Linked DNA regions of Ovis aries. The protein of the gene in region 1 purifies or fractionates together with the protein of each later gene. This does not show direct contact. Links are inferred from orthologs where the notes say so. Each region holds a gene or a part of one and is shown in the gene's direction. Other genes may lie near its edges.

The links.
Region 2: the proteins of ARHGEF7 (region 1) and PAK2 purify together in Homo sapiens (co-immunoprecipitation; 5 studies listed by BioGRID and IntAct, with this or other methods). This does not show direct contact. The link is inferred for Ovis aries from reciprocal best matches to the Homo sapiens genes ARHGEF7 and PAK2.
Region 3: the proteins of ARHGEF7 (region 1) and GIT2 purify together in Homo sapiens (affinity purification with mass spectrometry; 6 studies listed by BioGRID and IntAct, counting the BioPlex papers as one, with this or other methods). This does not show direct contact. The link is inferred for Ovis aries from reciprocal best matches to the Homo sapiens genes ARHGEF7 and GIT2.

The regions. Positions count from the first base shown.
Region 1 is NC_056063.1:84,871,012-84,881,002, forward strand, and holds part of ARHGEF7 (rho guanine nucleotide exchange factor 7), read left to right. Parts: coding exon 1-13; intron 14-673; coding exon 674-733; intron 734-1,398; coding exon 1,399-1,545; intron 1,546-2,273; coding exon 2,274-2,360; intron 2,361-4,670; coding exon 4,671-4,749; intron 4,750-4,917; coding exon 4,918-5,057; intron 5,058-6,633; coding exon 6,634-6,858; intron 6,859-8,512; coding exon 8,513-8,606; intron 8,607-9,991. UniProt on the Homo sapiens protein: Acts as a RAC1 guanine nucleotide exchange factor (GEF) and can induce membrane ruffling. Functions in cell migration, attachment and cell spreading. Promotes targeting of RAC1 to focal adhesions. May function as a positive regulator of apoptosis.
Region 2 is NC_056054.1:192,067,003-192,077,474, forward strand, and holds the start of PAK2 (serine/threonine-protein kinase PAK 2), read left to right. Parts: upstream 1-4,461; 5' UTR 4,462-4,767; intron 4,768-10,472. UniProt on the Homo sapiens protein: Serine/threonine protein kinase that plays a role in a variety of different signaling pathways including cytoskeleton regulation, cell motility, cell cycle progression, apoptosis or proliferation.
Region 3 is NC_056070.1:63,468,836-63,478,826, forward strand, and holds part of GIT2 (ARF GTPase-activating protein GIT2), read left to right. Parts: intron 1-338; coding exon 339-481; intron 482-2,477; coding exon 2,478-2,627; intron 2,628-4,951; coding exon of another isoform or gene 4,952-4,975; exon of another isoform or gene 4,976-5,737; intron 5,738-6,301; coding exon 6,302-6,550; intron 6,551-8,180; coding exon 8,181-8,270; intron 8,271-9,991. UniProt on the Homo sapiens protein: GTPase-activating protein for ADP ribosylation factor family members, including ARF1.

The DNA.
Region 1 (9,991 bases):
GAGACACATGGAGGTGCGTCTGCCCCACTAGCCGCACCAGGAAGGGCGGTCAGGAGCCGGCCCCGGAGCCGCGATTACCACTGGCCTGCAGCGCGGGAGAGCTCCTCAGGGACTTGTTGGTTGTGAAGTTGTTTCCTCATGTCCCAGCTCTGTAGAGAGGCGTCTGCTCCAACCTCTGCTGGCGGGGAGAGTTCCAGTAGCTGGAAAATGTCCGTGGTGTGGAGGGGTCCCATCAGGAGCCTGTGCCTACAGTGTTAAGTGTATGAGTTATGGAGAGATAATAGGAAGAGAGTCAGCGGATGGTGTGCACTTATCTCCTTTTCAGAACTCAGGCTGTGGGCCCGGCAGGGGTTGGGGCTCAGGCTGCTGGCTTAGTTAGGCTGTGGTGAGCCACTCCCCAGGGGCAGGCCCTCTGCCGCTGCGTCGCTCTCCTCTGCCCTTTGGTGCTGAGCAGCGGTGGTGGGGGTGGGCGGTGGTGGGCGAGGCTGGGCTGGCCTCCTCCTCCAGGGAAGAGTCCAGAAGACTGTTCACCGCTCCACGGTCCCCTCAGAGGCTAAGCAGAGGTGCTTCAGCGCCGAGACAGAGGGGCAGGCCCAAGCCAGCCTCCAGAGAGAGCCTGCTGAAGGGCAAGTGCTCATTATGGAAGCTCACAGTGTGTTTCTTTTATTCAAAGGATTATCACCCAGACAGACAAGATATTCAGAAATCCATGACCGCCTTCAAAAACCTTTCAGTAAGTGATAGAGCGTGTTACGGTTTTTTTCCTTCAGACATTATTGTGGCAAATGAATACAGGAAATTAGTTGTGAACTATAATTTGGATTTATTCTGGAGAAATAAAAAATAAATAATGTAGTTATTCCACGGCTGGTAAACTTTCCTATGTTACGGCACTGTGGACACCAGAGAGGTGAAAGGATCAGTGTCTGCGCTTACACGGCGCTGCGTAATGCTGCCGCACACGTCAGTGATCTGGACCATGTCTGCAGTCTCATCTCAGCATCTTGACTGGCGCGTGAAAGGAGTGCTGGGCTTCTCCCTTACCTGCTGTTGTGCTGTCTCAGTACCTGAGTCTCTGGAGTGCGTGCCTTACTTATAGCACGGGCGGAACTCACCCTTTTCCCCTCTTCCAGGTCTCCTCTTCGGGCGCTCACTAGTAAAATCAGAGGATGGTTTTCTTGTCCAGTCCACATTCCATCTTCTAAAAGTGACAGGATTTGCTATATTTTTCTCAGCTAGTATTTCTCATTCTAGAGCTGTTGTGTTGTTGCAGGTCTCTCTTGACTTGATTCTGTACTCATGAATGAGCGAGTTGTTCACTAGTGTCTGTCTGCAGAAGCAGCCGGGGCCGCAGCAGTAGAGCCTGTCTCCCCTGACGCGCCTCCTGTGCCCCCCCAGGCCCAGTGTCAGGAGGTGCGGAAGAGGAAGGAGCTGGAGCTGCAGATCCTGACGGAGGCCATCCGCAGCTGGGAGGGTGACGACATCAAGACCCTGGGCAGCGTTGTCTACATGTCCCAGGTCCTGATCCAGTGTGCTGGCAGCGAGGTACTGCCTTCAGCGTTCCCTGCACTTCTTTTACCGTGGGGAAACCTCTCTCCAGGGCCCCTGCGCCTGGCTGGCTTCCCCTGCCGGGGCCACGGCTCCCCTGAGTCCCTTCACTGCTGTGGGTGGTGTCTCTCCCATGAGTCGCCTTTTAGATTCCTGGGCATCTTTGGGCTTCACCTGTGGTCTTTCTGGGGCTCTTCTTAACCGGTCGCGGCAAATGAGGTTTAATACATAAGCAGTGCTCGTCAGCTTTCCGTGTAAATTGGGCAGAGCTCACGGGGGGTGGCAGCAGCAGGCGTGTTGGGCTCCAGGTTGGTTAGTGCCAGGATCCGCCGCGGACCAGAGGCAGTCTCCCGCCTCTACCCTCCCTGCCTTCAACCTGAAGGGTCTGCCTGGTCTCCCTCTGCCACTGAAAGGTCACAAGTTCTTTTCTTCTATTTTCTCTCAACCACAGAAAAAATCTGTTTTTCTAACTCCTGCCTAATGAGGAGTTAATGGCAGAGCTAAACTCAGATTTTTAAAAAAGGTGTTCCATGGGTACTTGTGAGTCTTAACGAATTTCTCATAATTTTGTTCCCGTTTAATTTAAATTTGGTAGAAAGAAACACCTAGACATGAAGTGTGATATGCTCTTTCATAAGGCCGAACGTGAATATTTGTTCTCACCATTGTGAATGTGTAAATATGTGTTTTTAATATAGTTACTTGAATTTGTTCTTTTACATTAGGAAAAGAATGAAAGATATCTTCTACTCTTTCCGAATATTTTGCTAATGTTGTCTGCCAGTCCTAGGATGAGTGGCTTCATATATCAGGTAAACACATTTTAAATTTAGATTTGTTTATTGTGGGCCTGAGCGCCGTTTTCAGGCTCCTTTGGAGTTTTCGTGTTGATGCTGCGTGTGTCTGTCGTGTGCTGGGTACAGTGTTGTACGTACAGTGTCATATTCGCATCTGTGCGCACAGCCCCAGTGTGTGTGTGCTGACGTGACTGTGAAGCTAGGATCTTCCTGCTCATCCGGAGCAAGCGGAGAAGGGGCCTGGCCTCTGTGCAGCTGACCCTGAGGACCCAGAGTGCTGGGGCGCTGGCCAGCTGGCCGCCTCCAGGGCGCTCTGCCGCTTTCCTGCCACCAGGGCAGGCGGCTGCTCCACGGGCCGGCTTGGGGGGGCACGTGTGGCTGAGGTGGTCTGTGGGCCCCCACTGGACTCAGCAGTCACGGGCACACGCCTGGCGTGTTATTTAGCTTCTTTATTGCTCGTCACTTTCCTGATTTTCTCCGCGAGGATGTGAGGCTGCTTTAAGAAGAGATGCAAGGGCAGAGCCCTTCCGTTTCTGTCTGTCACGTGAGGTGCTGCCCTGCCCTCCTCCAGGGACCTGCCCAACCCGGGGATGAGCCCAGGTCTCCCGCGGTGCCGGCGGCCTCTTGACCGTCTGAGCCTCCAGGGAAGCTGATAAGTGCCTTAGGTTTTCTGTGTGTCTAGTAGGGGCTTCTGGCAAAGTTGACTGCTTTGTTCCTGTGTGGTTATTGAAGCTGCAGCCCTTCCATCAATTCCTCAAGGCCTGGTCACCAGGAACCATTCCCACAGAAATCACCCTGGGTTTGCTCAGAGTTGCATTTTTGCACGGGTGGCACGCTATTTGTCTTATCCCCAACAAGCGCTCTGCTGGGTCCTGAGTCCAGAGCGTTCACGGCAGGCTTGTACCTGCTCCGAAAGCTTAACAGCCCAGAGAGGAGTTGACATCACGCACTTGTTCCGAAAGGAGCGCTTTAGGCATGAGAAAGCAGATTGACACGGGCCAGCCCAGGAAAGGACCGCCTCCCAATCTGTAAGCCTGCGGTTGAGCACCTCCCCAAGCTGGCCGCTGCTGCTCTAAGTGAGCTCTGTCCTTCTCGGCCATGTACCCTGGCTTCGAAGCTCCCCCCACCCCAAGGCCCAGGGCCCTGCGGTGACCTGTGGGGCTGCAGGGGCGTCCGGAGCGGCCTCAGGCCCCAGGGTGCTGGCGTCAGCGTGCCGCCACCGGGCCCTGCTTCCCCCGGGCGTGCTGTCTCGGGGGCTTCTCTCTGAGTGCTGAGACCCCCAGTGCTCGCGGGTCAGTGTTCACTTCCGGCTTCGCCCCACATCCGGCCACCGCGAGCTCGTCCCGGCCTCCGCAGCTGTTGCTGCAGGTTAGTCGGGGACACGCAGCTGTGTTTCCCGTCAGGCTTCTCCGAGCTCTTGGTCAGCCCAGTGCCGTGGGCCCCTCGGCAGGGCGTCTGCAGTGCCCATGCCCGGCTGCAGGACAGGCTCCTGCGCGCGGGCCCCACTGCCCGTGGACCGGATGAGGCCTGTGGGGCTGCGGAGGTGGCCGGGCCCGTGTGGTGCTCTCGGCGCCTGGCCTCTGCCCGGGTGTCAGGAGTCCGAGCCTTGTGGCCTCAGAGCCGCCCTGCTGCTCAGGGCCCTGCTCCTCGGGGCCCTGGCCCTGACCCGAGAGACGCTCCCTGCAGACTCGCTCGGCCTCCACAGCTCTGGTGGCTATTATTCGAGGGGCTCGCTCCACGGCCCAGTTCTGGTTCCGCTCCCTGCCTCACGCCCTCTGTCCCAGAGCAGGCGGGCTGGTGCTCTTCTCTGTGTTGTGGGCAGTGCTTGGCGCAGCTGCTGACGGACAGTCTGGTGGCGGATGGCCAGGCGCAGTCTCGCACAGTCCCTCCGGCTCCAGTCGCCTGTATTTGCCTTTGGATGCGGAACTCGCCCCGTGTTTCTCTAAGGCACATCTCTGCTTCCTTTCTATAAACAGCATCATTTAAAATAGCCACCGTGGACCCTCGTTGTTGTTTTTTTTTTATCACACGTATGATGTTTTTGTGTCTTGCTGTTTATATTTAGAGTAACTCATCAGATGAAATGTTTTTGTTCTGGTTTGCAGCCCTGTACCTTTTTGCTGGCTCATTTCTTGGTTATAGTATTACAATTTCTTACTCAAGGTAGAGGCTTTTGTATTATATATGCCTTTGGTACAAGCAAGAGAGTTTGCTTTACAAAGACAGTTCCTCTGCATTGTCTAAAATTGTTTAATATTTACTTTAATAATGGTACCTCCTTTACTAGAAAAGCACTGACTGTTTTTGTTGGGGGGTCTTTTTTAGGGAAAGCTACCAACGACAGGAATGACAGTCACAAAGCTTGAGGACAGTGAAAATCACAGGAACGCGTTTGAAATATCAGGTGATAGGCGCGGGCTCTGTGGGTGCCCTCTGTCCGGGTGCCGAGGCCATGGCCCTCGTGTGCGGGCCCCGCTGAGCCCCCGAGGGCTGCATGGGCGTGCTGTGGGGCCTCCTTGGGGTGCACATGTGTGCGCTCTGACGCCCTCCAGCCCGTGCCTGTCTCCTCCAGGCAGCATGATCGAGCGGATCTTGGTGTCCTGCAACAACCAGCAGGACCTCCACGAGTGGGTGGACCGCCTGCAGAAGCAGACGAAGGCCGCCTCGGCAGGAAACCCCAGCAGCAAGCCTCACTCGGTGCCCTCGCACACCGTAAGGGCCCCGCCCCGCCCCCGCCCGCAGACCCCGGGCCAGGAGAGCGCCGCTGGGCCTCGGGCCTCTCTGCAGACGCGTCCTCATCCCCCGTGGGCCGCGATCGCCTCACGGGGACCCACTTGTGAGCCAGGCCTGCCTGTCTGCCTCTCGAGAGTTCACACACACACACACGCACATAGTTCACCGGTTAGGCGCCCGTCGGCACCCGCTTAGGCAGCTGCCCTGCCCAGGGTGGGCCGCGAACACTACCTCAGGGCTTGTGAGGGTCTCTCCTGGGACTTCTCCCACATGGTTCACCCTGGGGTCGCTGCCCTTGGGCTTGAAGGGCCGTCCCAGGGACGGTGGTCATGGCATGGTGTACTGGTCACTGCTGCAGCCTCTTACTCCATTTCTCAGCAGTTTGGGGGAAAAGCTATTCATTTGCTTCAACTATCATTTTGAATGGTTTTGCCATGACAGCTTTTCCATATTGTAAATGTATTCTAGAGATACTTAGCTTTCATGGGACTAAATTTATCCCAAGGGCATCGGTGTGTACATGTGTGTCATCCACAGGGAGTCCCTTCTCACTCAGGTGGTAACAGCCTTAAACCAACCTCTACAGACTCCCACCTCAGGGAGCCATGTGCCAGGACCCTGGCCTTTCTGGTCCCAGGGCAGCTGTGTGGTCATGGCAGAGTCCGCTGCTTCTGTCCTCGAGCCCTAAGCCTCAGCTTGAGCCCAGGCTCCCCTTTAAGCCTGTGTTTCAAATATTATTCATTTCTTCTGAATAATGACCTTACTCTGGTTTCCAGCTCACAGAACAACTCAACTTTTTTTCCTGTTAAGCATACTGTATTGTTTTGGGTTAATTCGAGGTCACTGGCTACTTTTGAATTGTTTAAAGTTCTAATTTGTCATTGTGATCGAATACTTTTGGAGTTTCTAGGAGCATAAACCCCATTAATAAGGTCCTTCTGAGAAATTAAATTTATGTAACCTGGTCTTGATTAAAGCTGATTTTTCTGAGAAAATGTTTTACCCAAGGGATTGGTAAAATTTTTCTTCAAAAACACAGTAAATATTTTTTTTTGGTTTTTAAGCACTATGGTCTCTGTTGCAATTGTATTTTGCTTTTATAATATAAAAGCAACCATTGACACGAATAGGCCTGATTGTGTCCCAGGAAAAAAAATTTTTTTTTAACAAAAACAGGGATCAGGCTCTACTTTTGCTGGCGAGGTAATAATTATGCTCCCCCAGTCACATTCCCAGGGCAGAGAATGCCCATTCTTTTATAAAATCCTGATATCTGTGTTAAATGAAATGCCTTTTTTGCAAACGTGACTGCTTCGCAGTTAAAGGCGGTCAGTGGGTTTCCGGGTCTGGACCCAGCAACCTGCTGCTTCCCGCCCTGAGCTCAGCAGGCCTCACGCAGGGTGTGGGGGATGCTCGGCCTGACGGCCAGTAACCTGAGCGTCGGGACATTCAGGATGCACGCTAGCAAGTGGGCGCTGCTGTGCTGGGAGGGCTGGGCTGGCCTCGGGTCCTCTGGCGGTGAACGCGCTCTGCTCTCTCCCTCTGTCCCTGGCAGCTCCCCTCCCACTCCATCACCCCGTCCAGCAAGCACGCGGACAGCAAGCCCGCGCCGCTGACGCCCGCCTACCACACGCTGCCCCACCCCTCCCACCATGGCACTCCACACACCACCATCAACTGGGGGCCCCTGGAGCCTCCGAAGACCCCTAAGCCCTGGAGCCTGAGCTGCCTGCGACCAGCACCCCCTCTGCGGCCCTCGGCTGCCCTCTGCTACAAGGAGGTGAGCCCTAGTGAGTGTGGAAATGTGACAGCCCTGTGTTTGTGTCTGTGACATGGAGCCGATGAGCCTCTTCAGAATGGAAGGCTCTGCCTTCTCTCCCTTGTTACCCTTCCTGTGCTCCAGAGCCCCAGAGTCCTGGGGAGACCCCCTCTGTGCCCATAACAGGGAGAGGGACAGGCTCGGGGCACTGTTTGCGCTTTGAGGAAGCCGGTTGACGACTGTGGTGATCACACGAGCGTGCTTGAGTGTGAGCCGAGTTCAGTTGCTCTGGTGTGGTTGTGGCTATGAGTGTGGGGGGTGTGGCTCGGGCGGTGGGCTGGGTGGGATGTGGGTGAGGCTGTGAGCATGGTGGGTGGGACAATGAGCTTGGTGGGCGGGACAATGAGCCTGGTGGGCGGGGCCTGTTCGTGAGCCTGGTGAGGCGCTTTTGCACCAGTTTGCATCTCAGAGAGGCCACATTTGACGAAGGACCTGGGCAGACCCTGCCTCCATCCTTGCTGGAGGAATTTTATGGTACATGGGGGAGTACAACATAAATTACAGTTAATCCTGTATGGGTTTTGTTAGTGAACTTCGGTTCTTAGGACATGTTTCTTCCTGGTGGCCCATTTTGGCATCCTCGCTGCTTAGCTCAGTGTGGTGGAGTGCAGCCACGCCCTGCTGCGGGTTCTTACAGGGGAGGGGGGAGTAGGGTACAGGAGAGAGAGGCTTGGCGGGTGTGGCCGTGGACATGTCCAGTGTGCTGGGCACACAGGCCGCCTGGTCACGGAGCAGGCGTCCTGGGGCAAGGCCGGCGCTCTGCGCCGCCTGCGGGCGCTGCTCCCGGGCGTCCCTCCGCCCCTGTGCCTCAGGACGCCTGCTGCTTCACTTCTTCGGGACTGCTGATCTGCTGCGTTTCCAAGCGCTCTGGAAGTTTTCACTTTCACAGATTTTGGAGAGACACCTTTGGAACGCAGGCTGTTCTTTCGGTGCTTGTCAGCCTGATCCCTCCCATGGCCTGAGTCCCATTCTCAGCCTTGGACTGGCCTCGTGAAGTTCAGCGGCGGTGAATGTGACTCAGTGATGCCGAAGTTAGCCTCCCTGACACTGGGGTTCAGTACGTGCTTGACAGTCAGAACCTTGCCGGCCGCGTGGGCTGCTTTTGCTGCTCCTCTTCTGCCCGGCTGAGCGTACAGATGTGCTGTGGACGGAGGGACAGTCTCTGGGCTGTGAACATAGCTCTGCCAGCGGAGGGGGCGCCAGTGTGCTGCCCGTGGGCTGATTCTGTTCCCTTTCCTTCTCCCTGTTTCCCTCACGTTTCATTTAGAAATCGACAGTGTCCTCCTGTCTTAATGGTTGGCTGCAGCAGGGGGGTCTGCCCTAGAGTGGGCAGCGCACGTGGTTCCCTGCACAGGCGTCAGCCCGCTGCCCTCTCTTCTCCGCACTGCCGGCTGCCGCACCTCCCAGGGAGTGGTCCCGGTGGTCCCGGCGCCGGCGGGTCCAGGTGGAGGAGGACCGTCACAGCCTGTGCCTCAGGATGTCAGCGCTCCGCAGCTGGCAGAGCGCGGTCAGCGTGTGCGGGGCGGGCGCTGGAGTGTCCCGGCTTCCCCCTCCACAGCGGCCGTGCCTGCCCACCAGATCTGGGGTCTGCCAGCCTTTTCCTCTCCTTCCCCAGGACCTGAGCAAGAGTCCCAAGACCATGAAGAAGCTGCTGCCCAAGCGCAAGCCAGAGAGGAAGCCCTCGGACGAGGAGTTCGCTCTGAGAAAAAGTGAGTGCCTGGGAGGACACACCTGGCTCTTGGTGGAGGCGGGGTGGGAGGCGGGGCCTCGGGTGGGGAGGCGCGGTCTCAAGGGTGAGGAGGCGGGGCCTTGAGGGTGGGGACGGGGCTTTCCAGAACCGCAGAGGGGAGCCAGTGCCCAGCCTCCGGTCTGCTCTTGAGGACGTCCGAGTGGGGCAGTGCAGCCCCCTCAGTGCCGGCCGCATCAGCTGCGCTGGCAGCATCCCCTGTGAGCGTGCCCCCGCTGTGGACACTGACTCCCAGTGGATCCTGCAGGGAGTTAAACATTGTTCTCACAGAAACCTGTTACACGACTGGTCCAGTTGGTGGCATGTAGGTCAGTTTCTCGGTGGCTCCTAAGCCCTCTGTGTAATGCTGACTCTTAGGAGGGAGCACCTGGCCTGCTTTGCGTGTGCTTATCTTGATATCATGAGATGCTGTCCAAACATTTTTGGTACGGCTTATAAGTGGCTCAGTCCTTCATTCTAACCATTTAAAAAAAATTAGTTGAGCCTTTAAAAGTATATATTGAGTATTCTAGAAAATATATAAAAATTTAGAACAATAGCAGAAATTAACCATACAGCTGTATGAAGCACGCGGGGTGTGAGGGCTGCCCGGCACCAGCAGCGTCAGACACTGTTGCTCCGCAGGCGCCGTCCTCCGCCAGGTGGCCCCCTGGTGCAGGTGAGGCCAGTCTGGAGGGGCCCCAGCTCAGGCCAAGCTCTGGAGCCATGCCTGCACACTCTGGGCTACACTCTGTCAATTTCCGGATTAACTCTGGTGGGAATCTGTGGGTCAGGGAAGCGCTTGTAAATAGGGTCAAATGGCCTTTCAGGGGCTGCTCCTGTCTTCTCTGCCTCCCGCGTGTGGGTGCAGGAAGTTCTTTCTGATACCTGCATCCACACGGAGAATCGTGGTTTCTGATTTTCTCAGGCAATATGTGAAAACGCCATCCCTAGTTTTAATTTTGACTTCTTTTCTTGGTGACGACGAACATTCTTCTGTGACTCTTGTGAATTGTTTCTGCTTCTTTTTTCATGTTCAGGATGGGGGGGTATTCTTTTTCCTGTGGATTAGTAAAACAATATATATGTATAAGTATATATATACACACACAGACATATAGATATGTGTGTATATATATGTGTGTGTGTGTATATACGTGTGTGTGTGCGTGTATATATGTTTGGGTATTAGCTCTTTGCCAGATATGTTGTAGATAAAAAATAGAAGTAAACGTCCTTTGGAATATAACTATTCTGTGAATATCCAGAAATGTTTATCCGGCACCAATTCCAGGGGAGGGGCCGTCCGTTAGCACTGCTGGCTGAGTGGCTGGCCTGGCTGTGCTGGTGACTCGGGCGGTGACGGCC
Region 2 (10,472 bases), on another chromosome or scaffold:
TGTGAGAGAGTGAAATAATATAGAGGATTGTCCTAGTCCATGATATATTGGTAGTTTTAACTATCTATCTGATTTCTTGCACCTTACTTCTGGGATTACCTTCCTCCTGAAGTGTATCTTTTTAAGATGTCCTTTTAGTAGGTGTCTCTGGTTTGTAACATTTCTGTGGTTTGTGATATCTCTGTTTTTGCTTGATGATATATTTATTTCACCCTCACTTTTGTTACTAAGAGTTTAACGAGGTATGTACTTCTAAGTTCAGTTACTTTCTTTAGATAGTTTGAAAATATTTTTCCGTTGTCAGATGGCACACATTGTTGCAGTTGCGAAACCTTGCTAAATTTAATAGTTGTTTCTTTGCAGGGGATGTCTTTTCTTTCTGGGTTCTTTATCTTTGGTATTCTGCAGTTTCACTTTGATGTGTTTGAGATTTCCTTTACTTATCCTGTTTGGGATTCACTTTGCTTCCTGAATCTGAAGGGTCTTATCTTTGATCAATTCTGGAAAATTCTAAGCCATCATCTTATCATATACTGCTTCTTTTTGTTTTTTCGCTTTTTCTCATTATGCATACGGTATAGCCCCACAATCTATCCCCATGTCTCTCAACTTTCCTTTCATATTTCCTTTCTCTTTGGGTTGCTATCAGTAATTTCTTTAGATCTGTCTTCCAGTTTATTAATTCTCTCTTTAACAGTGTGCAATGTACTATTTAATCCAAACATTGGCTTTGGTTTTAGTTATATTTTTTATTTCTAGAAGTTTTACTTGACTCCTTTTCAAAGTTGCTTGGTGATTTTTTATAATATCTTGTTTCTTGCTCCTGTCTTACTTAATCATTTTAATAAACTTATGTTATATTCAGTAATAAATAATTCCAAAATCTAAACTTCATGAGCTTCATTATTCTCTTTGTGGTTTCTGCTGATTCATTCCTGGCTTATTTTCTCAGATGTATTGTAGTTTTATTTTGGGTGTTCATATATACCTTTTCATAGCCTGTTTGTGGAAATCCTTTCAGTCCTGTGTTGAGAGTGACCCTGTGCAATAAGGATATGTGTTTGTTTCTTCTAGACCTCCAAGTGTTACCAGCCTGGGAGACTTACTTGACTTGAGGTTTCCTGGACAGTGTAGATACTATAAATTTGAACTTTCAGACCTATGTGAGTGAAAATTTGTGGTTATGAATTCTAAAGGGAAAGCTTTTTCCCCTTGATGCCAAAATCCAGGTTAAAATATATCCACATTTTGGCCTGGGTTGGTACAGGGGATTTTTTTCTCCTAGTCTATTCTCAGAGGGTATAGTCCTCTGAATTTTCCAGCCTTGTGCAAGATTATAGTCCCAAATCTTTCTACAGGCTCATAGCCTTGTCTTTGGTCTCTTGTCTCCTGGGCATCCAAGAAAACCATAGAGATTTGAGGTAAGTAGGTTTTTTCAACACAACAATACAACACAACACAACACAACACAACACAACAGGCTTCATCGACTTGGTTACTACTTTGGTTTCTTGCTCCTCCTTTGGGTTGAATGTGAAGTTTGGAAGCCCATCAGAGGTATTCCTCTCTCTTTGTTTTAACTGGAGGATGATTGCTTTATAATATTGTGTTGACTTCTGCCACATATAAACATCAATCAGCCACAGGTATATACATGTTCCCTCCCTCCTGAACCCTGCTCCCATCTTCCACCCCATGCCACCCCTCTAAGTTGTCACAGAGCACAGAGATCAAATTGCCAACATCCACTGGATCATTGAAAAAGCAAGAGAGTTCCAGAAAAGCATCTATTTCTGCCTTATTGACTGTGTGGATCACAATAAACTATGGAAAATTCTGAAGAGATGGGAATACCTGACCACCTGACCTGCCTCTTGAGAAACCTGTATGCAGGTCAGGAAGCAACAGTTAGAACTGGACATGGAACAACAGACTGGTTCCAAATAGGAAATGGAGTACGTCAAGCCTGTATATTGTCACTTGCTTATTTAACTTATATGCAGAGTACATCATGAGAAACGCTGGGCTGGAAGAAGCACAAGCTGGAATCAAGATTGCTGGGAGGAATATCAATAACCTCAGATATGCAGATGACACCACCCTTATGGCAGAAAGGGAAGAAGAACTAAAGGGCCTCTTGAAAGTGAAAGAGGAGAGTGAAAAAGTTGGCTTAAAGCTCAACATTCAGAAAACAGATCATGGCATCCGGTCCCATCACTTCATGGCAAATAGATGGGGAAACAGTGGAAACAGTGTCAGACTTTATTTTTCTAGGCTCCAAAATCACTGCAGATGGTGACTGCAGCCATGAAATTAAAAGACGCTTACTCCTTGGAAGAAAAGTTATGACCAACCTAGATAGCATATTCAAAAGCAGAGACATTACTTTGCCAACTAAGGTCCATCTAGTCAAGGCTATGGTTTTTCCAGTGGTCATGTATGGATGTGAGAGTAGGGCTATAAAGAATGCTGAGCACTGAAGAATTGATGCTTTTGAACTGCGGTGTTGGAGAAGACTCTTGAGAGTCCCTTGTTCTGCAAGGAGATCCAGCCAGTACATCCTAAAGGAGATCAGTCCTGGGTGTTCATTGGAAGGACTGATGCTAAAGCTGAAACCCCAGTACTTTGGCCACCTGATGCAAAGAGCTGACTCATTGGAATAGACCCTGATGCTGGGAGGGATTACGGGCAGGAGGAGAAGGGGACGACAGAGGATAAGATGGTTGGATGGCCTCACCAACTCAATGGACATGGGTCTGGGTGGACTCCGAGAGTTGGTGATGGGCAGGGAGGCCTGGCGTGCTGTGGTTCATGGGGTTGCAAAGAGTCAGACACAACTGAGCGACTGAACTGAACTGAATTGGGTTGAGCTTATGCCTTTGAAAGGATGTTCTATTTTATCCAGCATTTTGTATATTTAATAGTGGGGATGTTTTTCAAGTTATCTAATATTGTGCCCTATTGCTCCTTGAATCCCTTTTCTCATATTCTTCATATCAATTAAGCTGTTTTGCTCTTTGTCTCAGCAAGAACAATTTGGCTTTCTCTATCTATTTCCATTGCTATTACTCTAGCACTAGTCATGATTAATGCCTCCCTAATTCATTCCTTTGTCTTCTTGCATCTCAAAACTCCATTCTCCATGTAGCAGTCTAGTATAAACCAGGTAACATCACTTCCCTGCTTACAACTATTTAATAACTTCTTGGAATAAAGTCCAGCCTCATTACTATGTCATTTAATATCCTTCCTGACCTGAATCTTGTCTTCTCTAGTGTTTTGCCATACTACGCTACTCCTCTTGCACTAAACTGCAGTTACACAGGCCTTTTTAACTGACCTTAGTGAGTTCTTGTTTTCCTTCCTCTGCTTGTAATGCTCCTGAAAGCTTCTCATGGCTCTCTCTTTCATTTCTTAAACGTCACCTCCTTAAAGATGTTTTCACTGGCCACCTTATCCAAAGTAATCATCCTAGTTTTTTTCCTCATACCAGATTCTATTTTAATTATTGTGTTTTTATATTTGGAAGTTCCACAAAGACAAAGTGACTCATGTTCACTCTTGTATCCCTGATACCCAGGAGTGACTGGTACATATTAGACACTGAGTGAATACATTGAGGCATCTAGTCAAAGCTATGGTTTTTCCAGTAGTCATGTATTGATGTGAGAGTTGGGCCATAAAGAAAGCTGAGCGCCAAAGAATTGATGCTTTTGAACTGTGGTGTTAGAGATGACTCTTGAGAGTCCCTTGGATTGCAAGGAGATCAAACCAGTCAATCCCAAAGGAAATCAGTCCTGAATACTCATTGGAAAGTGTGATGCTGAAGCTGAAACTCCCAATACTTTGGCCACCTGATGCAAAGAACTGACTCATTGGAAAAGACCCTGATGCTGAGAAAGGTTGAAGGCAGGAGGAGAAGGGGATGACAGAGGATGATATGGTTGGACAGCATCACCAGCTTTATGCACATGAATTTGAGCAAGCTCCGGGAGTTGGTGATGGACAGGGAAGCCTGGCATGCTGTAGTCCATGGGGTTGCAAAGTGTCAGACATCACTGAGCGACTGAACTGAACAGAATGAAAACATTGCGGAACTCCTCTGTGAATAAAACATAGAGGCCTTGATTTGCAAGGAGGTGGGCCTTAATTAGCACCAAAATACATTGAGTTACAGGCAAAAAGCAAAATGGATAGTGGATGAATTCTCAGAAACAGATGTCCTGGAGCAGGTTCATGTAACAAAAATCGTCTTTCAGCGTCTTTGGTTGGCACACCTGACTGGAGACAATGCTCTCTCAATATAGAGAATAACCCCCCAAAAAAGAACGTGGGAGAGAGACGTGGAACACATCTCCAAACTACAACTCCCGACAGGCCCCGCGTGAACTCCCACTGGGAGGTGGTGCCGGTCTCCGCCCAGTGGAGCTCCGGCTTGGGTCCCACCCCTCTCCGCTCCCCGCCGTCGCCCTCCCCTAGGGTTGTGGCCACGCGCAGCGGCAGTGGTTGTTCCGCTTCCCCTTTGGCCTGGGCCGTCGCCATTGCCGAAGGCTCCCTGCCCTCCCCTCCCGGCGCCCGCGGGGCTCGGCTGCCGCCTGGCCTAGCGGTAGAAGCGGCTGCGCTCCAGCGCGGCCCCTCTTCCCGCCCCGCTTCCCCCTTCCCTCCCCTCCCCGCCCCGCGTCGCGCGCTTGCTCGGGGCGGCTCCGAAGCCCGCCGGGAGCTCGGCCGGAGGCTCCTCGCTGGGGCGGGGACCTTTCCTCGCCTAGGGTAAGTGTGCAGACAGGCCGGGACGCGGGCCGTCGTTCTCATTCCTCCTCGCTTCTACGCGGCCTGGCCGGCGTGAGCGGCCCGGGGCAGCTGACCTGCCCCGCGCGGGCCCGGGAAGCCGCCACCTGCGTGCCTGGAGCCGCAACTCTTGGGGCGGTGGCTCATTGTCTGCGCCCTCGGGCTGTTTTCTTCTCCGGCTCTAGCCTGAAATGGGAAGCTTGCTGGGCTGGTGAGATCTAACTCTTCCTGGACCCGGCCCTGCCCTGAACCGTGACGGTGGCAGGCCACCGTCTCTGCCTTCTGCTGATCTCCCTTCCCTCGCGTTTCAGCCGCCTTTTCTTCATTTACTTTACTGTTCGACGAAACGTTTCGGGTTTTAGTCCTTGATTTTTTTCGTCCCTTACAGAGTCCCAGCTCCTCCTTATCTCTCTGGTCATCCCAGTTTCTTTACCGAGGCACATTGTCTAAAGCCGCTTCATTCTTTCCTAAACTGCAATCTGTGATCTCTTCCATATTCCGCATCAGTAGAAAACGAATAGTTTTCCGAGGGTTTGAGAGCCTCCGTTTAAAAACAGAACTTTCGGGTCTTCTCGTGATTCCTTTTGATCCTCCGCCGGGAGGTGAATATTTGCTTCTTTAGGTAACTTAGCTGAAGGTTGGCTTTCACCATGTTTAGCTTTCTTTAAAACAATACATACACACAAAACGTTGTCGAGTATTCCTCAGTGGGCTCAACCTTTTGACTCATTCTTTAAAGATAGAGTCATCCAAGAGCTGAAGAGTGGAAAGCAATTGCCGTTGTCGTCAGTTGTGGGGTTGTACTACCGGCCCTGTATCTTATCTTTAATGGGAATACTCTGGGCAGTGCGAACGTGATTTCTTTCCTCCTTGATAAATAATGCCAACTCCTATTGGTTTAGTTATCTCAGATTTATTTTACAAGTGATCTGTGTTTTTTTGTTTTCTTTTTCAACCTCTGTAAAAAGACAATCAAAATGGTTAGGCCTAAAATTAGACTCCCACGAGCTGTGTTTTGGATCAAGGTTGTTCACGTCACGTTTTTTCCCCTGCTCTGTTTGACTCTTCCGCTCTTGCAAGTAGGCAGGATATTGAAATGTAGAAGAATTTGCTCTGGGGGTTTTGTTGTTGTACGGTTATTCAAAAGAATAACATTAAATAAAGTTAAGATTGGGATGAAGACAGTGAATGGTAATTTTTAAAGCAGGTTAGAACTTGTCAACTTTTCCAGGAGCTCTGTGGCTTTTGTAAATCACACTCATAATCCCTTCTATATATTTTGTATGTATCTATGAAAAAATATATATCTAAGTGAAACGTTTGTTCATGTTCTCCTCTTAAGGGTATTGATTTAAGGCAACTCTTAAGTCCTTAGTTTTAAAATCTTTTCTTGTTTTAATTAGCCAGAAACACAGACTTCCATTATGAAAAATGAACCTTAAAATGTTTCTGACCTGTAACATATGTAGGACTTAAACCCACTTTCAGGCTTTGGTGAAAGAGGTTGACCTAAATTCAGTGTGTTTTCAGGACTGTCATTTTGGTAGCGTCGTTTGTCCTTAATTCATTGAGAGGTCGTCTTGGCCTAAGGGGTTAGGTCTAGAAATGTTGGAGTGTGCAAGTGGATGTGTTGATGTCAGCTTCTCTGCCAGTGCTTTCTATAAGCAGATACTTCTACTGAGGAAGAGTTCTGCGTATTCTGCTTCTCTTAGGGCCCTATTTCCAGTTTACAATTATTCAGAATTATTCTTCTGGACTTTTGACATTAAATGCTAACCTGGCAAACCCAAATTCATAAAGTCTGTAATTGTAGTCTGTCTACTGAACAAATGAATAGAAGTTCCTATGATTCTCTAGTCTTTTTGATGGGCAGATTTCCAAGCAGACATGGTTAGCAGTGGTGTATGTATCTTTTCAATTATAATTTTTTTTTTAAGAGAAAACTTGGAACTTGTTCAGGTAGCTGGATAAACATTCAGTTATTCTTTTTTTTTTTTTTTTTTTTTTGGCTGTGCTGGGTCTTCATTGCTGCAGTTGGGCTTTCTCTAGTTCAGTGATGGGGGCTACTCTCTAGTTCAGGTGGTACGCAGACTTCTTATTGGGATGGCTTCTCTGTTGAGCATGGGGGGCTTCAGTAATTGTGGCTCGCCTGCTTATAGTTACCCTGAGGCATGTGGAATCTTTCTGGACCAGGGATGGAACCTGTGTCCCCTGCCTTGGCAGGTGGATTCTTTACCCTTCGACCAGCAGGGAATTCTCTATTCTTTTTTAAAAGAGAGAGATCTTGTTGGAATAGCTTGGGATAAAATAGGTAGATATTGTTAAATTCTTCCTATGTTTAATCTGTCTATATTGATTATTCTAGTATTTGAATATAACATTTCTTTTGGCTTTCTGAATTTTCTACTTTTGATTAAAATGTGAAACTGCACCTTGTTTTCAAGTCTAAAGACTTTGGCATTCTGATCAATTTGTTTTTAAACGCTCTTGCAGTTAGTTACAGGACTAATTCCAGACTAATCAAGGAGGGTGTTAAGTTACTCGCAAATCTGAGTTGTCCTTTGTATCCTTCTTGTACCTCTTGTACCTTGGTAGAAGCAGAAAGATGCAAAAAAAAAAGAAAATAGAATAAAGAAAAAAAATAGCCCCTGTTGCCTTAAAAAATACTATTTTCTTCTGTGATAAGAATTGAGTGTCACCACTTCTTCATTTTAGGATCACTAACCTGAGTAAGAATAGTTAGTCCAAATATGCAGGCCACATTTCATGTCATTCCAGGTATCAAAAGTGGTTAGGAGCTGGAGACCTGGGTTTGAATCCTAGCTCTTGGACTTGACTCTGGACAAGATACGTATTCTTTTCAGAGTTGATTTTTTCAATCTATAAGATGAGGATTAATAATAATAACAGTATAATACAAATTTCATAAGGCTATTTGGAGCAAATGAGAAATACAGGGAAAATTACTTAGCAAATGCTGTGCTTACATGATTAATAAATGTTAATTGATATTCTGTTCTAAACTGTGTTTTATATTTAGTTGCTTCTGCAACAAATGTTATACTTAGAAACTTAGATTTAAGACTGCTTTCTAAAGTGGTTGGAATCTCAGGACCATGTTTTTGAGATCATAACTGTTAAAAAAATTACTTTTCAGGGAAAAAGTTTCATCAATGAAATCAAATATAAGTTTTTTTAATACATATTTCTCAGATTTTAAAATAGTCATATTTCTCATAGAAAATTTAGAAAGTAAACTATTAAGAAACAGGACAAAAATTACTATACAAAAATCACTTTAGCCCTCAGAGATAACCATAATTATAACAGATTAGAATAGTGAGTTTTTCCCCTTTATTTTAAAATTAAATTTCAAAGGCAGTCACTTCATGCTTATCACAAAAGATTCAAGCAAGTCAGTTATTTAGCGTAAAAAGTGAAAATTACTTTCCTTACTTTCTAGTCGCATTTCTTACAGGTACCCACTGTTAGCAATTTTGTTTTCTTTATGCAATTAAAAATAAACACAGTGTGTGTGTAATCTTACCTTAATTTTATTTTTAATAAAAAAATCTAATTGTTATAAATTCTTTTCCATCTCAGTACTTGTTATACCTCATGTTTTTAATAGTCATGCAATATTCTATTCTTTTCTTGTACTTTACTTAATTCTTTATGGTTATTTTTGGGCAACTAAAAGTGAGCTTTAGTGAACTTATATCTTTGTGCACATGCATATGTATAGAAGTATTTCCATAGAAAGAATTCTTAAGTGTGCATTTTAAGTTTTAATAGATGCCAAACTGCCTTCCTAAAAGGTTATACTAATCTGTACTTCTTTATTGAATTGCAGAAGCTCTTTACATATAGTAGATATTAATGCTTTAAGAGTATCTTTTCCATTTTACCTTTATCAAAAAACAATCTTCTATATTTTCTTTTGGTACTTTAATAATTGTATTTGAATCTTAATACTTCAGATTATTTTTTTGGTGCAAAGTAGGGTAAGAGTTTGGCTACTGAAATAAAATATAGGTATGAAAATATTTCAGGACTTTGAGGTTGGTGTAAAAATTTGTCACATGATAAGGATTCAGAGAGGAATATTTTAATAGTTTTATTGTAAGCATCACATCTGAAAAGGAGGGGGAAATGCCCTCTTTTGGCTCCTAGTTCTTGGCATCTACCTAATTCATCCTCAGCCTTCAAATTTTAGCTTTTGAGTATAGCTTTCTTTGGGAGTCTTCCCTGATTTCTGGTATGATTTAGATATTCTTATTGCTTTTATATGTTTTCTTAACACATTGATCCATAATCTTTCTTTGGAGTATGCTGAAAGGATGAGTTATTCATTTGGAAAGGAGAGTTATATCTCAATTTTTGTCAATTGAAACTAATCAAAAAGGAGATGCAAAGAACTCTAGTTTTGGTTAAAATTGAAACACATATATACATACGGGCTTCCCATGTGGCGCTAATGGTAGAGAACCCACCTCCAGTTCAGATTAGAGGTAACAGACTCTGGTGGATCCCTGGGTTGGGAAGATACCCTGGAGGAGGGCACAACAACCCACTCCCGTATTCTTCCCTGGAGAATCCCATGGTCAGAGGAGCCTGGCGGGTTGCCATCCATATTGGGTCACGCAGAAACCCACTCTAGTATTCTTGCCTGGAGAATCCTATGGACAGAGGAGCCTGGCGGGCTGCAGTCCACATGGGGTCGCACAGAAACCCACTCCGGTATTCTTGCCTGGAGAATCCCATGGACCCAGGAGCCTGGCAGGCTGCAGTCCATATAGGGTTGTACAGAGTCGGAGACGACTGAAGCGACTTAGCGCAGTACCTATATGCATAAGCGTTCAGGGCTCTTTTAACCTACATTACTGAGTTCTTCCTAACATGTTTCTGATCACACTATTATCTTGTAGATAATATTTTTTCATGTAAATATTTAGTAAGTTCTGGGAAAATAGAGGTTTTATTTTAATCCCTATTTCGTAGGTACATTTTAAGGTATAATCTCAGCTTTCAAAAAATTAATTCCTAGTCTCAGATTCCCTGGCAATCCAGTGGTCAAGACTCTGTGTTTCCTTTGTGTTTCCCCTGGTTGGGGAACTGAGATCTCAAAAGCCACATGGTGTGCCCCAAAATTAATTCCTATGCTTTTTAATTTTGAGATTTGGTTTATAAAGCAAAAATGTTACATAATAACCACATGAACAACAAGAGTTGGAGTAAAACTTTTAGACACAATTTCAGTTTCTCTAAAGATCAGGTTATTAAAGAATAAAAAGTTACATTGGCAAATATAATAGTAAAAATATAGCCAGGTGTTTGATAGATTATCTATTGTAAATTCTTTCTGAACTTTTTCACCTTCCCTATTAAATATTTGAAAAGAATAAAGTTTAAAAAAAAAAACAACAAATATTGCCTGTGAATGACTGCAGTTAATACAGTATTTTGATATTTCTTTATATTTTGTAATTGTACATAATTTACTTTTCTGAAATTTTGGAATCATATTTTGTGGAATTTGCTATCTTCATTTTTTTTTAACTTAACATTAAATCTTGACAGTTTCCTTCTGTTCTCCTTAAAAATTATTTTTTTAAATGATTTTTTTAATGTTTGCCTAATGTTCTATTGTACAGCTATGCCTTAGTTTCACTATTTTCCTATTGGCC
Region 3 (9,991 bases), on another chromosome or scaffold:
GTACTTTAGTTACAGCTTTATTTTCGTGATTTCGAGCTATACTGTTTCCTTGAATGATTACAGATTTGGGAACCTGCCACCTTACATGAGCAGCTCTTCCCTAGCCATCTAATTCGTGCCCATTTTTGGCAGGTATCTCAGATGGTTGCTTCACTCTCTCTATAGTTTTCAGTAGACTCTGTCCGGTTGATAACGTGCTCTGTTATCCCTTTTGGGGGTGAATAGAACCTTGCTATTTCTGTCATTTTTCTTCCAGTCTTTTAAATGGCTCATTTTTCTTTTAGGAAAAAAGAAGTTCTTTTCAAGCCTGAAGTAAAGTTATTTGCTTCTGTTGACAGACAATGTAGAACTGATACTGAAAACAATTAGTAACCAGCACAGTGTTGAGAGTCAGGACAATGACCAGCCAGACTACGACAGTGTGGCGTCAGACGAAGACACGGATCCGGAAGCCACTGCAAGCAAGGCCCACAGGCAAAAGGTAAGGTGGTGCATTGCACACAGAAAGTGAGCTTATGTTCTTTTTCAGATCTTTCCTCCTAAAAATTTGCCTGATTTGTAAAGCATTCGAGGGCTAGGCCTGGGAAAAGTGCTCTGGAGGTAAAATTGGGTTTTCTACTAGTTTGGCCCAAGCAAAGGTCAACAAGGTAAATATTTTAAAGTTTTAAAATAGGGGGTCCCTTGCCCCTGAGTCAGTTGCTGACTCACAGCCCGGCTGCAGTATTAACTTTATAAAACCTATGAGGAGGGACGGGTGGGTTTTACTCTTTCAACAAATGTTTACTTTTGTTGGGTATTACCCAAACTTCTCTGGATAATACTCTCCTGAATGAGGGCTGGTCTCTTTCCTCTGTGAGGCCGTCCTCACCAAGAGGAGAGGGAACCGCGGTTCGAGGGTCATAAGTGCAGACAGGAGCGGAGGGGTGGGAGCAGGCGATCCACAGACACAGCCTGTCACTGACAGGGAGTGTCAGGGGAGGCTGAGAAGGCCCGGGACGTGGGCACGTGGAAAGGCAGGGAGGGGTCAGACTGAGCGGAGGTGAGACAGGCATCTGGGGGACGTCTGGTCACGTGGAGAGGCAGCCTGAAAGGAGAGGGAGTCTGAGCTGCGGCAGAGGGCGGGGATCACACCGTGCAGGAGCGTGACCCCAGACTGAAGAGCTGAGACCTTGGCTGGCAGCGCAGAGCCCAGGAAGCTTTTAGGCAGGGCGGGAACACCATGTCCACCTTGTTGGGTCCTCTGTTTGGGGAGGACCGTTCTGGTGGGTCAGGAGCGGAGGAGAGGAACCCAGGCAGGGAGGTGCCGACAAGGTCCAAACAAGAGCTGACGCAGGCTCACCTCAGGGCCTCTTCAGCTGGGAGGGTCTGGATGGAAAACAAAAGTCACCGTTGCAGAGAGTGAGCCCGAGGCCAGGGCAGCAGGGGCCTGGCTGGCCTGCCTACCGCTGAATATCCCTGACCTGGCCCACAGGGGGCTCAGCAAACACTTGAGAATGGGCAAACAGGAAGACAGAAAAGGCAGGGCTTGGGGACAAGTTAGACATTGGAAGTGGGAAGGTAGATTTACCCGAGTTGTGTCCGGAGTTTTCCAGCTTACACAGCTGTGCGGGTCAGTGGTGCCACCGGCAGATGCAGGGAACATGGAGGGGATGGCAAGAGTCAGCTGTCCCATCTGAAACATCTCCGCCAGTCTCCCCGGAAGTGCTGAGTTCAGTCGAGTGAAGGCGGGTCTTGACTGGACCCTGCACGACAGGGTCCCTGCACTGGCTAGCCTCCCCCTCCTCTGGGCCTTGCACACCCACGCCCTCTAGCTGAGTCCTACCACAGGCTGGAGCGCTGTCCTCCAGACAGCCACCTGACTAGTGACCTCCCCTCCTGCAGGCTGTTGCTCATGTCCCCCCACCCAGCTGTCTAGTTAAAATGCACCCACGTCCACCTCTCTTTCAGCTCCCCAGCCCCTCACTCCTCCTCTGTTCTGTTTATTTTCCATAGCACTTATCACATTCCCCTATACTATGTAGTTATTTATTATTATTTTTCTCCCTCTCTCACTCAGTTGGGATGTAAACACCATGGAAGCAGGAATCTTTTTCTATTTTCTTTTCTTATGTAACCTAAGCCCCTAGAACACTGCCTGATGCTTAGTAAAAATCTGTCAGAATGAGTGAAATAATGAATCAAAAAAGAAAAATGAATGAACAAGAGAAAGGCAGATGAGACAGGTGTTCAGAGTCACTGTTAGAGTAGATTTGTGGCCCCACTCTCTGATCGCCAGAAAATACTGACTTGAAAATTTTTCATCTGTTGTAGGAGCCCTACCTTTCTGTTTTATTTTTGTATTCCTCTCAGAAGCCTTGATTTGGTTTGATTAACTTTGCGATCCAGCTGGCACAGTCAGAATTTTAAATTCTTGAGCTGTTAGTCTTGAATGTTATCATCGTCTCAGATTGTGAACGTTTTCCCCAATTTATTTTTAGAGCCTAGATTCAGATTTATCAGATGGACCAGTCACTGTGCAGGAATTTTTGGAGGTCAAAAACGCTCTAGTGGCTTCTGAGGCCAAGATACAACAGCTAATGAAGGTGAATAACAACTTGAGTGACGAGCTGAGAATTATGCAGAAAAAGGTAACATGTCAATAAATGCCAGGATGGTTGCTCTTTAACCCCATAGTATATAAGGAAGAATCCCAGGCATGATGCTTGTGATCAGAGGGAAGAAAAACAGACCTGAAAATCTTTGGGCCAAGCTGTCTCTTTGGAAGCAGTATGAATTATGGATATTTTCAACGAAGTAGCTTTGATTAGATATAAATCCAGTTTAAGTTGCCCAGGTAGGAGAACATCATAACCTATTAAGTAAGTATTCATATCAGTTTTAGAGACCCTTGCAAGCGTCCTGTGTTTCCTGGGAAGCTAGACACAGCTCCAGGGGTGTGATTCTTACTGTTTATTGCTCATTCTAATCACCCCGTGAGACAGAGCAGACCAAAGCCCGGGACAGGGTGTGTGTCTACCAGCATTTCAGAGCGCCCCCATACCACACATGGCTGCTCTCCCTGCTCACTCTTATGTGTTGTTACCCACCCCGCCCTGGCAGCCCTGTCGCACAGTCCCACTCCACTGTTGGCCAGTTCCTACTGCTCATTTATGATGTCCTCAGAGTCACAGAATAGATACTCAATATAAGAAAACCTTTCATGCACACAAGCGAGAACTGTATGCTGGTAAGAGACAATCCCATTTGCTCAGCATTTGCTTGTTTGCCACCTTTTGAGAGAGTCAGAAATACGTGAACATACTGATCTCTAAAAAGCGTGTGGCTAATGGTAGCAAAGAATATGTTGAAGAGAGGATTATGTATGTCATTCTTTATAAGAATGCTAAGAAGAGGAGGTAGAAAAACTCTGACTTCTGCCCTAGACTTTGTCGGCCCTGCTCCCACCATTCAGTGCTCTACAAAACGAGATGCACACATGCTTCCCTTAACCAGAAACAAAACAAAGTATGTATCTGTGTCTTCCTGCTATCACTTGAAGAATAACGCTTCAGAATCGTTACCACCACCAGAGGACATGGCGCACCTTGTTTGTGGCCGGGCCCTTTTCAGCGGTGCTTCCTGAAGGAAGGCTGAAGAACTAAGGGGCCCACGCGCCTCTGCTTGTCAGGAAAGGACACGGCAGTGCACCCTCACCTAGGGCTTGGTCCAGGATTCTTTTTGAGTCTAGATCATTTTTTGGAGACATTTTGAGATAGATGGCTTCAACACCTGTAATAGAAAGGGATAAGAATACCTGAAGATCAATCAGATTTTAATCAGACATTTGTTCTCTGCCACCCTGGCCCTGTCTAATGCTGGTGTGCAGCCATGAATGAGACAGACCAAGTGCCCTTTTGCCATAATGTACAGGGCTTGCACTTCTCTCTTCTCTGAAATTTCTTTTATTTAATGAATTATAGTTTATCTCATTAGTTGAACTAATAGATGGGTTTGGGGTGACTTTTTCTGAAACAAGCTGACTTTGCCACTGCAAATCAGTCTGCTAAGCATTACCATTTTTATTCCGTTATGCTCCTTTTAGTATTTGTAGAAATCACCAGAGATAACCTTGAATCTCTGAAAGCAAATGTCTCGAGCTTGTTTAAGAAATGTTGAGTGGAATTACTTGTCATCATTGATGGATTATCTCCTTGATTCTTAGAAAATGCTCTCGATTTCTGAAACTATTATCTGTAACTTTTCATTTCCTGTTGTACTCCTTCCAAACAGAAAAAGTATAGCCTGGTTCTTATTAAGATAAGCATCATTCAGGTTTATCCAAGGACATCTCGGTAAATTCAGAGTACTAAAACTTTTTAAAGTTGAGACCAGCTGAGATCTCGCACATTGAGGTGAGATCCAGACTGGATGTTCTACAGTGAAAAGTGTGAAGATGAAGTTTCAGATTTCAAGACCTTGTCTAAAATCCTCTAGGAGGTTTCCACATAGATAAGCACTTGACGAGATCCCCCCATCCTTCACTGAGGGCCGTGTGTCAGTCATGTTCCTCACTTTTTGGCCCTCGACCATTTCACTTTAGAACATGGGTTCCCTAGGAAGTAGTTTTGACAGGCACTTTATGCCTGTCTGTCTCCTGGAATGTAGGACTTTTCAGTAGATGCTTATTACTTTGCAGCTGTTTGCAGATACAAGTTATGGCCTGAAGCATAGGTGTAGAAGCATCCTCTCATTTCTCAGGGGTCATGCTTTGAGAAAATAGAAAACAAGGGTATTTCTGTGGCAAAGACAGTAAGTCAGACTTTCACAGGCGTTTGGCACTACTGGTATAAAGTATGTGGAACTTGTTTATTCAGTGAAGAAACGTTGATTTTATTTCAAAGTCAGGTAAAGTTTTTTAATATAGTAGTCAACAAAGTAGCATGATTTGTGTCTGATCTTTCACATTTAACAGTTGCTTGGAAAAGATGCTAATTAATGAAGAGGAGCAGCCACTATTGGTGTATTTGTCACAGAGCGGTGCTTTCTAAAATAGAAATTGAAAGTAACTCCTAACACTGAATGGGTTGGCTATTGGAAAAAATGATCTTCTGGTGCAGACACAGTTGCTTGTGGACTTAAGCCTTGGCCCTGGTGGGGAATTTGGTCAGATTTTTACTCTCTCTCAAGGAGTAGACAGCTGAACTCACACCACACCCAGCTTATAAAATGCTCTGGAGGATGGAGGAGCACCAGAGGGGAAGGACGTTGTACAGCCTGGACTCAGTTACTTGTGTGTAACATGCCAGATGGCTAAAGAGGAGCCCGATTCCTTGCTGATCCCTGTAACTCTAATTCATCCAGCACCATGAAGCAGCCTGCATGTGAGCAATGGGAAGAGCGTTCAGGGCCTCCAAGTGCCAGCCTCTAACTAAAACAGGGTGGTGCCAGGCAGCTTAGCATGTTTAAAGCTGACACCACCACGGTCACATTTCTGGGCGACAGAGCCAAAGGAGAGCGAGGCCAGGTCTTCCGGCCCCGGCTGAAAGATGACTGATCACCAGAGGGCGGCGCGCGCCAGTGGAGCGTTCAGATGAAGATGTTGATAGTTCAGTAGGCCTCCGGTTCTCTTCGTGATATGTTTATAGAGCAAACTTACCATGATCCGGTTCCCTCCCTTTAAGAAAAACAAAACAAAACAAAACTCAGTTGTTTGGAATTTCAAAGAATATATTATATAATAAAAACTTGTTGATCTTAATTTTTCCTGTTGGCTTTTTGGGCAGCAATAGCTCATCTGATTTTTTTTTTTTTTTTCGTAAACTGGATTTCACTGTCTTTCTCGCTTTGCAAAGCAACTCTAAGTTATCTTTGTGCTGCTTCCATGGTGTCTGCTGACATTTTTGGCATTTCTAAATTGCTCAGGGCACATCTGAAAAGCAGGTTACTTAAATGATGTCTTAATGATCTCAAGCTCTTGCTTGAAACAGCCTTAGAACCAGCCAGGGCACAGCCTGCCTGCAGACAAATTTCAGGGCCACCGTGACCAGTCTTTAAGCTGTGAGAAATTTTGCTTTAAAAAAGTCCAAACTGCAACTTTTCCACAGTCAGAAATGATTTCATTTGCTTAACTGATTAAGTGAGTTGACTGCATTTCACTCATTCTAGAAGAAAGAGTTTGTCTTTGTGGTTGCCTTTGACTTTCAGCTCAGCAAGCTGTTACTGTTCTTATTGTTAAAGCTGGTAGTTGTACGCGTTTACTTGGTGTTTGCTTTTTCTGCTTGCTATAGAAAAACACAGTCCCACTGCCAAACATGTCTTTCAGCTTCAAACACTCCAGAGTGAAAATTCGAACCTCAGGAAACAGGCCACAACCAATATATATCAGGTGCAAACTGGTTCTGAATACACAGACACTTCCAACCACTCCTCCTTAAAGCGACGTCCGTCTGCCCGGGGCAGTAGGCCCATGTCCATGTACGAGACGGGATCAGGTCAGAAACCCTATCTCCCAGTGGGAGAAGTGAACCATCCCGAAGAAAGCAGGACGAGACTCCAGCCATTCCCGGCGCACGTAAGTAATACCACCAGTGCTTCCGCTCTTTACTCTGTCCAGCCTGACCCCTGCCTTCCCTCTTCTCAGCTTGCAGATCCCCAGTCTCCGCTTTGCCAAATGGGGCTATGAGAACCGTCCTTGTGTTTGCTGTATTAACATGTCGACCAGTGCTTGTGGTGTTCCCACAAGCACTCCACAAGCACTCAGGGCCCATGGCCGAAGGTGTCCCAGCAGCTCTGGGGATTCTGGCTCTTGCTCGGCCCCCTCTCCCCCTTTTTCTGCCCCGTATCCATAGTATATTTCCCGAGAGGCCACTGTTGGAACTTTTTTGGTCATGAACTTCCTTCCCCATATCCAAAACCAAAACTTTATAAAGGTTACCACGGGAAGAAAGTACCGTCTTCTTCCAGGTAGGCGGGTGTGTGCCCACTTATGCACCAGAGCCCTTAGAATTCAGAGTGCCTTCTCCACTCTTCTGAGTGGAGCAGGTGGCGTCTGTGGCCTGGGGGTGCAGGCCTGGTCGGGAAGCCTGTGGGCCTCAGCAGCCCTGCACCTGTGGTCAGTCTGCTGGCTTAGCTGCTGCCTCCTCTTCCTCCCTTGTTGGGAGAAAGTGTTGCTTTTTCATTTCATGAGAACGAGATGTAAAAACTCCTATATCAACTTTACCTGCTTTATGTTCCAGAGATGGTATTCTGTAACAGGCTGCTAACACTCTTGTTTTTCCCATGGAATAAGTATTGTGTTGCGAGGTTTTCAAATTATATATCTTTTGGATTAATTTATTTTAAAAACCTATGTTTTGACAAAATGTTTTCTGCATTTTGAACCTACGTGATTTTATTTTTTCGGAGAGTAATACTTACCTTTTGGAATGTCAGTTGTTCTTCAGTCCACTTTTATAGGAATTTCCAAAAAAAGTTCTCAGGGTCAATAGTAAAGAACATGGCCTGGGAAATTATACCCTATTCAATTTTGTCAAGGTTTAGTGTGATAAAATTACAGTGTTGTTATTTTTTAATTGGGAATCTGCTGCTTCAGCTTTTAAAGTTGTTTGGGCTAAACATTCTAAAACAATTGATTCAACACATTTGGTGTAATGGGAATGCCATTGAACTAAGTTAAGAATCTTATTTTTGTATAACTGAGAACAAAATTTAGGAAAAGCCACTTTGTTCATTTTCACAGTGTACTTTTTGATTTTAAAAACATTTAAAATGTAAAAATGTCTTATTATTTTAAAAGTTCTATATCTGTACTGTATCTGATATACATAAACCAACTTTAAATCATTTGTATAGATTTTCATTTCATATCATCTGTCCTGATTAAAAAAACGAGTATTTGTTTAAGACTATTAAAAAAAAAAAACCATTGGCACTGTTGACAGATTATGCTAGGTATTGTCTTTTCCCTCATAGAAAAGTAGCCTTACAGATTCTGAGTAATTTCCGAGAGGCATTTATTTCACTGAGGGATTAAACATCTCTGGGGATCTCATTGGCTAGCGTGGGCGTTTCAGCACTGATCCCATGTAGTGAGTTGCTCCTTAGGTGTCTTTTAACTGGGAACCCAGGCGAAGCCAGGGTGGGTGGCAGGGTTTCATGTTTGTTTTGTGTTTTCCCGAGTGTGTCTCTTTTTCCCCTTCCAGATCGGGAGGAGTGCGTTTGTGACCTCCTCTTCATCTCTGCCTTCCTTCCCCTCCACACTGTCCTGGTCGAGGGACGAGAGCACCCGAAGGGTTAAGTACACTGAATGGTCTGCTCTCTGGAGGAGGGGCCTTGCTCCTGGGCGCTTGGTGCTTCTCCTGGCCGTCCTGGCCCTCCCTCCTCCACTAACCACCCTTCTGTCCTGCATGAGGCCTCGCACGCACACCCGCACGCATGTCTGCAGGAGAGGGCCTCCCTCTCAGCTAACTCCACATAGCTCAGTCTCATGTGACGTTTAACACGGTCCGCAATTCGCCCTGTAACATTGATTCTGAGCGTTCTGTCTATTTAAACAATCAGAAAATTAGCTGGCTGCTGGTTAAACATAATATGGCAAATCTGTCCAATTTTGTTCAAAGTGTTATTAGGACTAACAGAAACACTGAGACACCGTGTTTCTTGTTTTGTTTTGTTTTGTTTTTAACGTCTTGACATGTGTTATGTCAGCCCCTGACTTGACAGACCCAGGTTTTGCAGTCCCTGCATTCCACATCCAGATTGGAGGTGTAGGCAGCTGTTAGTACAAAGCTGTTCACTCTTAGTTGGTCAAGTCCAACTTGCCAGTGTATAATTTACATTCCCAGTAACAGCGTGTGATTCAGGTAAGCTTCCTTTAGAGTAGCCAGGCAGCAAGTATTTATCAAGCACCTTGTCCACACCCTGCCTTTCACAAAGTCAGTTAAAGAGTCCTAGGAAGTTAGGTGACACTCCTACTCTCAAAGGCACTGTCAGTTTAAAAAATGCCTTGATGCATGAAGAGTACATGACAGCAAGCTGGGAAAGAGCACAGGCTTTGAAAACCTGCATTCAGGTCCTGGCTCTCGCGTCTTTTACTGGAAGGGTGGTGTCCCTAAAATGAGAGGAGGGAGGGAGGCTGTGGGTGAGGGACCACCTTGACAGACCAGGGGAGATTTGCACCAGGCCTTTGTCTATTCCCTCCGCTTTTGGCTGGAACTATGGAGAGTCTTCTTTCCCACTGAGGAGAGATTTCCCAGTGCCTCACAGCTCACTGTGGCCCTTCAGGGGCTCTTTTCTGCACGTTTGAGGTAATCTATTGAAAAGAAACCTCTTGACATATGTATGCTGCTATCTTCTGAGCGGTTCTGAAGTTGAACTGCACTGTTTTTACTACAGTATTTCAGTTAAGGACTTTCCTGGTGGCTGAGTGGTAAAGAATCTACCTGCAATGCAGGAGACCCAGGTTCCATCCCGGGGCAGCTAAATAGAAATGATATCTTTCTTGAAATGCTGTTGCTAAGAGTCAGGTAAACCTTTTTGTCCACTGTGAAAATTTTTTTTTTAATTTTTGGTAGTTTTGAAAATTATTGCCAGGACTGCTTGCTGAGACAATGTTTTATACACATTGTTTACACTGGTGATCCCAGTTGCTCCTGATAGCTTCACATTGAGTTTAGGCTTTTATGGCACATCTGTATTCAGAGAAAGCTACCAATCTCTTAAATAAACTGAACCAGCACCAACTATAAGGTAACTTCTATTAACAGCTTTGAGAGAGCAGCACTTTTAACTAATAGACCTGGGTTCTGCATGTTGACAATAATTTCCTTAAAATTAACACTGACTAATTTTAAAGCCCAAAATATGCTTTTGTTGACAACAATGAAGGATTTAATGTAAGTAACCGATTTCCTGGGTGGTTATTGCTGTACATTGTTATCTGTATTCAAGAAGCATTTCCTGAGTACTTTGATCAGATAGATGAGTCATTACTCTTGTAACATGCTTCAGTGAA